Caenorhabditis elegans: one gene and its partner. The protein of the gene in region 1 purifies or fractionates together with the protein of each later gene. This does not show direct contact. Each region holds a gene or a part of one and is shown on either strand. Other genes may lie near its edges.

Region 1 (5,536 bases):
ACATCAGGTCATTTAAGCACTTATTTCCCTAGGCATGAGTGTGTGCGAAGAAAATTTATTCAACGGTAACTATCTATAGTTTCAACCATCTTCCGAGTTTGAACTGATCTTTATACCTCCAGAGAAATCAACAATGATCGCACAAAATGAATTTATAAAATAATGTAACATCTCGCTTTGTTTTCGACAATAATCGAGCTCAGTTCTTGAGATCAATGCTAATTGAAGAAAATTAAAGTGATCAGGTTTTTTCTGGAGGATAAAGTTCAGTTTGAATAAACTAAACCATTTTTCTCTTGAAATCTTGCAGTTCTTTTTTATCTCAGTCAGAAATTCTTAACTTACGGTTCCTATTATAAAATTTAAAAAAAAACAGGGTTTAGTGAATAAAAGAAATGTATACATGCACAGGCAAGATGTCGGTGGAGGTAACCTTAACGGTAGAGCACGTGGTGTCAGGCTGTCCGATCACTGTTTACAAAAAATGTTTACAAAAAATCTACAAAAAATGTGGGAATTGTTCGCCCCAAAAAAAATGTGACGTCAGCACGTTCTTAACTATGCGAAATCAGTTGAGAACTCTGCGTCTAAACTCCCGCATTTTTTGTAGATCTACGTAGATCAAGCCTTTTTGGGCCTACTAGGATATTTTAAATGATAGAAAATGAACCGTAATGGCCAAGCACAATTACGATAAATTGTATCGAAGATTTGTCAAAGACGGAAGTATGATGATTCTTTAAACAAAAAATCCTGATATCTTCTGGCATTCAATCAACCACTTTTCGTGTGGAAATTCAAAAAATCAAAATCAGAACAATCAAAAATACAAAAAATGTCATGTTTCTCGGACTTGCAACATCTCTGACGTGACAGAATCCGGAAAAAAATCATCGCTTTTTCTGAAAATTGGAAAAAAAGACCACAAAAGAGAGTCAGAAGCCGATTATCAAGGTCAGAATGCGTCAGGATCTGAAAATAGAGAGTCCAAGACGGTCAATTTCGGCACTGGAGGTAACTCCGGGCTTCTGGGGGCTCAAGGCTTAGTTAGTTCTCTGGTTCAGGACTTGATTCACTAGCTAGGCTTTGGCTTTGGTTTAGGACTAGACTTAGGCTTAGGCTTTGGTTTAGGATTAGACTTAGGCTTAGACTCAGGCTTATGTTTAGGCTATGCTTAGTTTTAGGCTAGTCTTAGGCTAGGCTTAGGCTTAGGCTTAGGGTTATGCTTAGGCTTAGGTTTAGGCTAGGCTCACGCTTAGGCTTATATTTTGGATAGACTTAGGCTTCAGCTTTGGCTTAGGCTAGGCTTACGCTTAGGCTTAGGTTTAGGAATAGGCTAGACTTGGCCTTAAGCATTGGCTTTGGCTTAGGTTCAGGCTGTGGCTTAGGCTAGGCTAAGGCTTACTTTGTTAGGCTTATGTTTAGGATAGGCTTAGGCTTACACGTCTTACACTTAAGTTTAGGAAATAATATAAATTCGCAAGAAAAATGAGAAAAAAGGAAAAATCAAAGTTTCGTGAGGGAAATAACCGCGGAAGTCATTTTAAGTTGCTCGCGCGCGCGCTCTGTTGATTAAGCTCATCAGAGTATGTCCTCGTTACTCGGGTGACTGCTGTCATTGGATAAACAAATTTGTAGTTTTCTCGGAGCTTTCTAGATTTTTTATTTAAAAAAGAAATGTATAATTTATAGGTGTGGGAAAAACGTGAAATTGTGACGAATATACAATAAACCAAGAGGAAATTCAGCGAAAAAAAAACGGGAAGAATTAGAGCTTCAGGAGCATCGGAGCAATAAGGCTGGTGGCCTTGTCCTTTCCCTCAAGCAGCTCCACAATTTTCAGCGCAAATTCGAAGGCAGTTCCGGGTCCACGAGAGGTGATGATTTTGCCACTGACAACAACACGATCCTCCGAGTACTTGTAGCCTGGAAATCACAAGTTTTTCGGGGAGAAATGAAAATTTGGGCATAGCTTCCGCATCCCCAGTGACAAATGTGCTCTATTCCACCGAATTGTTGGTTGGAATACGGTATTTATTGCATGTTTCAGCCGAGAATACCGATATTCATACCATCAATTTGGATAGAAACACATAAGTCATGAAAGTTATAGGATCTCACTAAGTGGCCGCGGAAAATTCGGTGGCCGAGTTTTTTCCAGGCCACGTTGCAAGTGAAAAATTCGCTAGTTTTGCCTAATGTAGATTTTTTTAATGAATAGTTAAGGCTCCCCTATGAAATTGTTCGATTTTTAGCGACTTTTCACCAAAAAAAGTGCAAAACCAGCTGTACCTCCTTTCTCGAGTTTCTCCTTAACACTTGGATGACTTGTCACAAGTTCTGCCTTGACTCCATGGCTCAAGAGTGCAATTGGAGCTGCACAAATTGCTCCAATCAGCCCACCAGACTCTACTTGGCTCTTGAGAACATCGCGGACAAGTAGGCTTTCAGCCAACGTGTTGCTGCCCGGTTGGCCGCCTGGAAGAATCACAATATCGAATTTTTCGGTTTCCACGTCTTCGAGTTTGACGTCTGGCACGATGTGGGCTCCGCGAGCACATTTTACCTGGAAAATGTGAATATTTATGATTTTTGACTGGTTTCGAAAAGAAAAATTATTTGAAATTTCTGAATTTTTCTCAAATTTAAACATATTTTGGGGTTAAAATACCTCAATTATTGATTTTTTTTTTTGGGATTTCGGAATTTTTAATTTTTTAAATTCTAGATTTTTTACAATTTTCTGCTAATTCCCGTACCGGTTCGGCTCCATCTAATCCGGCATAAACCACACGAATTTCACCACGAGCAAGTACATCTCCAGTGATAATGACCTCCATTTCCTCAGCTCCTTCGGCCGCCAATATGATTAAAGCCGATTTTTGAGCCATTTTTCAAAGTTGCTCAGTTGAAAAATTCTGAAAAAGGGAAAAAAACTCAAAAGTAAGTTTTAAAAATTAAAATTTTTTGGTTTTTGACGTTTTTTTTTAAGTTTATGTTTAGGAGATTAGTCAATTTCTTGGTTTTTGACTTCAAATCTGAAAATTTTAAATATAAAAAAGGGGAAACAACTCGAATTTTGAGGAAAAAATACAGAAAAAAAAGGGAAATTTTTTTTTCAACAAAAACAAAAAATATAACAGAAAAATCGCTATAAAATATGAAAAATCTATGAAAAAAAAATCGATTTAACATTATTTATTTCCATATTTTCCCTCCTTGTATGCACTTCGGACAGTGTCGCCGTACGCCAATTCGAACAATGTTTCAGCTGACATTTTCGGTGGTGGCCATCTGGAAAATTTAATTTTTTTTTCAATTTTTTGGGCAAAAAATCTACAAAACTGCTTTTTTTCAGGTAATTTCAAATAAAAAAAATCAGAAATTTTTAGTTTTACCTCTCATCCTCAACAGTATGTAAATCAGCCAATCGTTCGGATCCTTTTTCCAAAACTTTCTTCTCATACGCAACTCGTCGCTTTTCGATTTGAACATCTGTACGGTAGGAGACGTAGGGCCGAAGTCTGAAAACTTGAAACTGAACTTGAAAATTCAAAAAAAAAAGTCAATTTTCATGGGTTTTACCCATATTTCGTGAATTTTTCATTTGAAAATCCCTTAAATCGTACTTGAAACCATCCAAATTCGGTACAACAAGCTCTGATCGCATCTCTTTCACCGGTACAAACTCTCCAGTCTTTTCGTCGTGAAATCCGTCCGCCTGGACTCCGGTGTACCTGGAAAATTAAAATTTTAGAAAATAATCGAGGATGGGCCTGCTACAAACTAGACTACAAACTACAAATACCGATTTAGCAGACCCGAGTGATATTGAAGAAATTTGGTCTGCTAGACTACAAACTACACATTTCGATTTAGCAGACCAATATAAAAATTGCCTGTTTTCAGCTTAAAATTTAGATTTTTGATTCTTTTTTTTTTTGGAATACAATGTTAATTCACTCAAAAATTTGATATTAGATCAATTTTCCCCGAAAGTTCCGATTTTTTCAGGATTTAATATGAAAATACGCACTTTTGTCTTAAAACACAAAAATTGCAAAACACTTGAATTTTTGCTAATTTCTATTTGAAAAAAATTCATTTTCCTACTGAAAAATTGAAAAATTCATCATTTTCTAATTTTTATTGCGAAAATTGAAAACTTTGGGTCTGCTACACTACAAACTACAAGTTGTCGTTTAGCAGACCCATTTTGTTTTGAAGAAATTTGGTCTGCTAGACTACAAACTACAATTTTCGATTTAGCAGACCCAAGTGGTCTGGATGAGAAATTTAAAAGTCTTAAAACGTTTGGGGTTAATATTGAAAAAAATTACAAAATTTCACACCTATGCAACTCTTTTGGATTCAATTTCTGAAATTTCGGAGAAAGTTCTGGAAATTCGCGATTCTGTCCGGGCCATTTGAATTTTTCGTAGTTCATTGGACCGATTTTCCTTTGTCCAAATGCTCCTTTCTTCACAAATGGCCATGGAGCCGGAAAATTGGTTGAATTGAGTGAACGGACTCCACGAGTGCTTACGAGCACCAGTTTCATCTGAAAAATTGGATTTTTTAATTGAAATTTTCGATTGTTTGCTTAAAAATATGGAAATTAAGAAAAAAGTCGATTTTTGAATGGTAATCTGGATTTTTCAAAATTAAAAATGAAAATATCGAGAAAAAATGGATTTTTGGCTGAAATAGCCCTGCCTGCAATACCTGAAAATAGAATTTTAAAAAATATAAGAAGCGGGAAAAAACCAAAAAAAAAAACAGAGAACAAACGTTTTGAAAATCATTAAAAATTGCATTTATATGCAGAAAAAAATACAAGAAAAAATTGGTATGAACACGAAAAACTGAAGAAAAAATACTGAATTTTCCTGGCTAAAACAAAATTTCTGGCCAAAATTTAAAATCTGAAAAGTGTACACAACACAACCTAAATAGCATAAAATTATGTTCAAAAAAAATAATAAAACTGTGATTTTTTGGTCGAAAAATAGCTGAAAAATCGATTCTACAAGGCACTGGTCACATCTCGCTTGAGCACATATTGGAAGTAGGCGGCATTCATTTGTTCCAAAATGATGAAAGTGAGCACGGTATGGGGTCCAAGACGCATGTAATATGGGGTAAAGCCCTTCCAGAGGGCGAAGATTCCTTCGTTTTTGATGACCTGGAAAATTTAAATTTTTGGTTTAAAATTTGGGGATATCCGAGTGAAAACCTACTTTTTAGCAAAAACGGGAAAATTAGATTTTCGAATTTTTACATTTTTTTAAAAGTTAAATTTACCTTTCCCCAAACATCAAAAGCATTCTTATATTCCGGTTTTCCATCAATAACTTTCATTGATTGAATTCTCGTTTTTGCAATATCGACAGGCATCGATGCAATTGTAGTTGCCAATCCACTGATCATTGATGCCAAAAAGTGGCAGAAAATGCCATCTTGAACCTTTCCAGAAGCCAAAAGTGCCTGTTTCGCCTGGGAATATGTGGCAAGTTGGGCGGCATTTACGACCATT
Region 2 (2,638 bases), on another chromosome or scaffold:
TCCATGGCTTTCTGTGCGAGACCAGCGAATCCGCTGAAAAGGCTTGAGCCTCCAGTGGAGCTTGAGCCAAATGATAATGGTTGAGTGGCGGTGGTGGTGGTGGAGGCAGAGCTTGATCCAAATAATGAAGCTGCCGTGGAAAGAGCCGAGAAAGGTTTTGGAGCCGATGTGGTAGAGTCTGCGGAGCTTCCTCCGAACACCAGAGGCTTAGAAGGACTGGCTCCGAATAGAGAGCTAGCTGGTTTCGGCAAATCTGCTTCTTTTGGTGAGCCAAATGTCAATTTTGGTGTGGAATCCGCAGCTTTTGGCTCTTCGGAAGGCTCGGCGGGCTTCTTTCCGAACGAGAATCCACTGAATTTTGGAGTTTCCTTCGGCTTGTCGCCACTGAAATTTTGATATATTGGTGGGTTTTTTTTAATAGAAAATAGTCTGAAATTGCTATTTTTGCAAAAAAGCCGACATTTTCGATTTCTAGTTGGAAAAAACAATTTTTCAGCGTAAAATGTAGCATTCTCACCACGAAAATGCTATTTTTTATGTGGCAAAATGTTAGAAAATTCAATTTTAATGAATTTTTTCCAATTTCGATTATATATATACTAACTCTTTTCCCAAAAATGCGAAAAGTGAGCCTGAATTACTCGGAGCCGCCGGCGCATCAGACTTTTTCGTCCAGAAATCCTTGGTGGGCTCCGGAAATTTGATCGTCGTAGCCGGAATCTTCACACTCGACGTGGCGGCTTGTCCGTCTTCGCCCGATTTGAAAACCACTGATTCAGCTCCACCGAGAGGTCCTCCGCCACGAATCGCGCGTTTTCGGGCGGTCGCTGGAGCTGCTGGAGCAACGAGTGGCTCTGCGGTTTTTGCGAGTGGAGCTGGCGTTTCCTTGGTTATCACTGAAATGTCGCCAAACTTGGGCACAGACGCGACTGTCGCCGCCGGGCTCGAGGCAGCGAAAACTGTAGAATTCAGCGGATTTTTTGGCGTTCCATTCTTCCGCACAGCTTTGGCTATTTTCCGCGGAGCAACTGTTTCTCCAGAACTTTCAGACGAGTTTTCGGTTCGTCTGGGCACTGTCATATCGGCTGCAACGTCATCATCGACCTTATAAATCTGCTTGAGCTGTGCCACATGATCCATATATGATTTCATAGTTCCAGACTGAAAGATTAGATCTTTAATTAGACATAAAAAAAAGGTTTTAAACCTTAAACTTACAAAATCATAATGATTCTTTTCCGTGAAATATCCGTTGATGACTTTGAGAAATTCTGCATTCAGGAGGCTCATTTTGTCGCGGAGCCGGAACATGTTCATTTGTTGCTCAGAAGTTGGCGGTGGAATTAGGGAATTCATCACGAATCTGAACGAAAATCTGTTTTTTAATTTGAATTCGCAAGACTGTGCAATGTGACGTGACGGTGTTTGCGTACTCGGCATCAAACCCGACGACGCTTGCGGGCGTTTCTTTTTATTTTTCACTTATTTTTCAGGCTCGATGAGTCATTTCCCGATTTCCCGTCAAATTTTTTTCGAATTTCGGTTCGAAAAATTATTATTAATTATTTATTTGTTCAGAAATGTTGCGAGTCGCCGTTTCCGCTGCTCTCCGCACTGTTTCAGTGCGTGCACTGAGCAATGCGTCCGTCCAACAACGAGTCATCACCCCAATACTCCTCTCCGCACAGAAACCAAGCTTCCAAATCAGACAATACTCTGCAAAGGTGGGAATTAACAAAAAAAAAATATTTTTTCGCAAAAAGAAAACAACATTTTCCAGGCTCCACTGACCAAAAAGACACTCGAGGAGCGAATTGTGTTGGTTCTCTCACTCTACGACAAAATCGACGCGAAGAAGCTCACAATGGACTCGGATTTCTCGAAAGATCTCGGCCTCGACTCTCTGGATCACGTAGAAGTTGTGATGGCGATGGAGGAAGAGTTTGGATTCGAGATTCCCGACGGAGATGCGGATCGCTTCAAGACGCCACGCGACATCTTCCAGTACATCGCCGACAAGGAAGACGTTTTCGAATAATTTTTGTATTTCTTTATCTTTTTAGCTGCAGTAGAAATATTTTCTATTATCATTTTTTTTTGTTTTTCGGATTTTTTTTCAAAAATAAAAGTTTGAAATTCATTTAATAATTTTCGCGTTGATAAAAAGTTAATTTCTTTCTGATATACTTTTCTCAAAGGCGCACAGATTTAGGGGTCTCGACGCGAAAGTTTATGGTAGCCGCTTTTTTAGTGCATTTTTCCAGAATTTTGGCGTTTTTCTTTCTTTTTTTTTGTTGAAATTTGTTTTTCAAGTCGAAAAACAGGAGAAACACAAATTTTTAATGAGAAAACTAAAAAAAAAAACGTTTTTGCAGCGAATTTCGTTATTTTTTCTTGTTAAAAATTGATTTAAACCAGTTTTTTTCGTTTTTCAGTTCAAAAAACAGAAAAATCACAAATTTTTGAGCAAAAAAAACTGATTTAGAACAATTTTTTCATTACAATTTTAAAAAAAGTGTTTTTGTTTACATTTTAGCAAATTTTATAGGTGTTTTTCTGTCGAATTATGTTTTTTTTTCAGGTCGACAATCTATACAAACCGATTTGAATCAGTTTTTAACAAAAAAAATCAAGAAAA

Evidence for each region. Proteins that work in one complex are often made in the same cells at the same time.
Region 2: the proteins of djr-1.1 (region 1) and ndab-1 fractionate together in Caenorhabditis elegans (co-fractionation; one large-scale study listed by BioGRID). This does not show direct contact.

The regions. Positions count from the first base shown.
Region 1 is NC_003280.10:287,964-293,499, reverse strand, and holds djr-1.1 (Glutathione-independent glyoxalase DJR-1.1), read right to left. Parts: upstream 2,919-5,536; 5' UTR 2,892-2,918; coding exon 2,760-2,891; intron 2,567-2,759; coding exon 2,293-2,566; intron 1,927-2,292; coding exon 1,769-1,926; 3' UTR 1,651-1,768; downstream 1-1,650. Other genes in the region: mrpl-41 (Large ribosomal subunit protein mL41), read right to left, coding at 3,195-3,294, 3,399-3,524, 3,630-3,737, 4,353-4,561; misc-1 (Mitochondrial 2-oxoglutarate/malate carrier protein), read right to left, coding at 5,027-5,185, 5,305-5,536.
Region 2 is NC_003281.10:11,914,653-11,917,290, reverse strand, and holds ndab-1 (Acyl carrier protein), read left to right. Parts: upstream 1-1,578; 5' UTR 1,579-1,580; coding exon 1,581-1,724; intron 1,725-1,780; coding exon 1,781-2,038; 3' UTR 2,039-2,138; downstream 2,139-2,638. Other genes in the region: Nuclear pore complex protein npp-16, read right to left, coding at 1-384, 605-1,161, 1,219-1,356.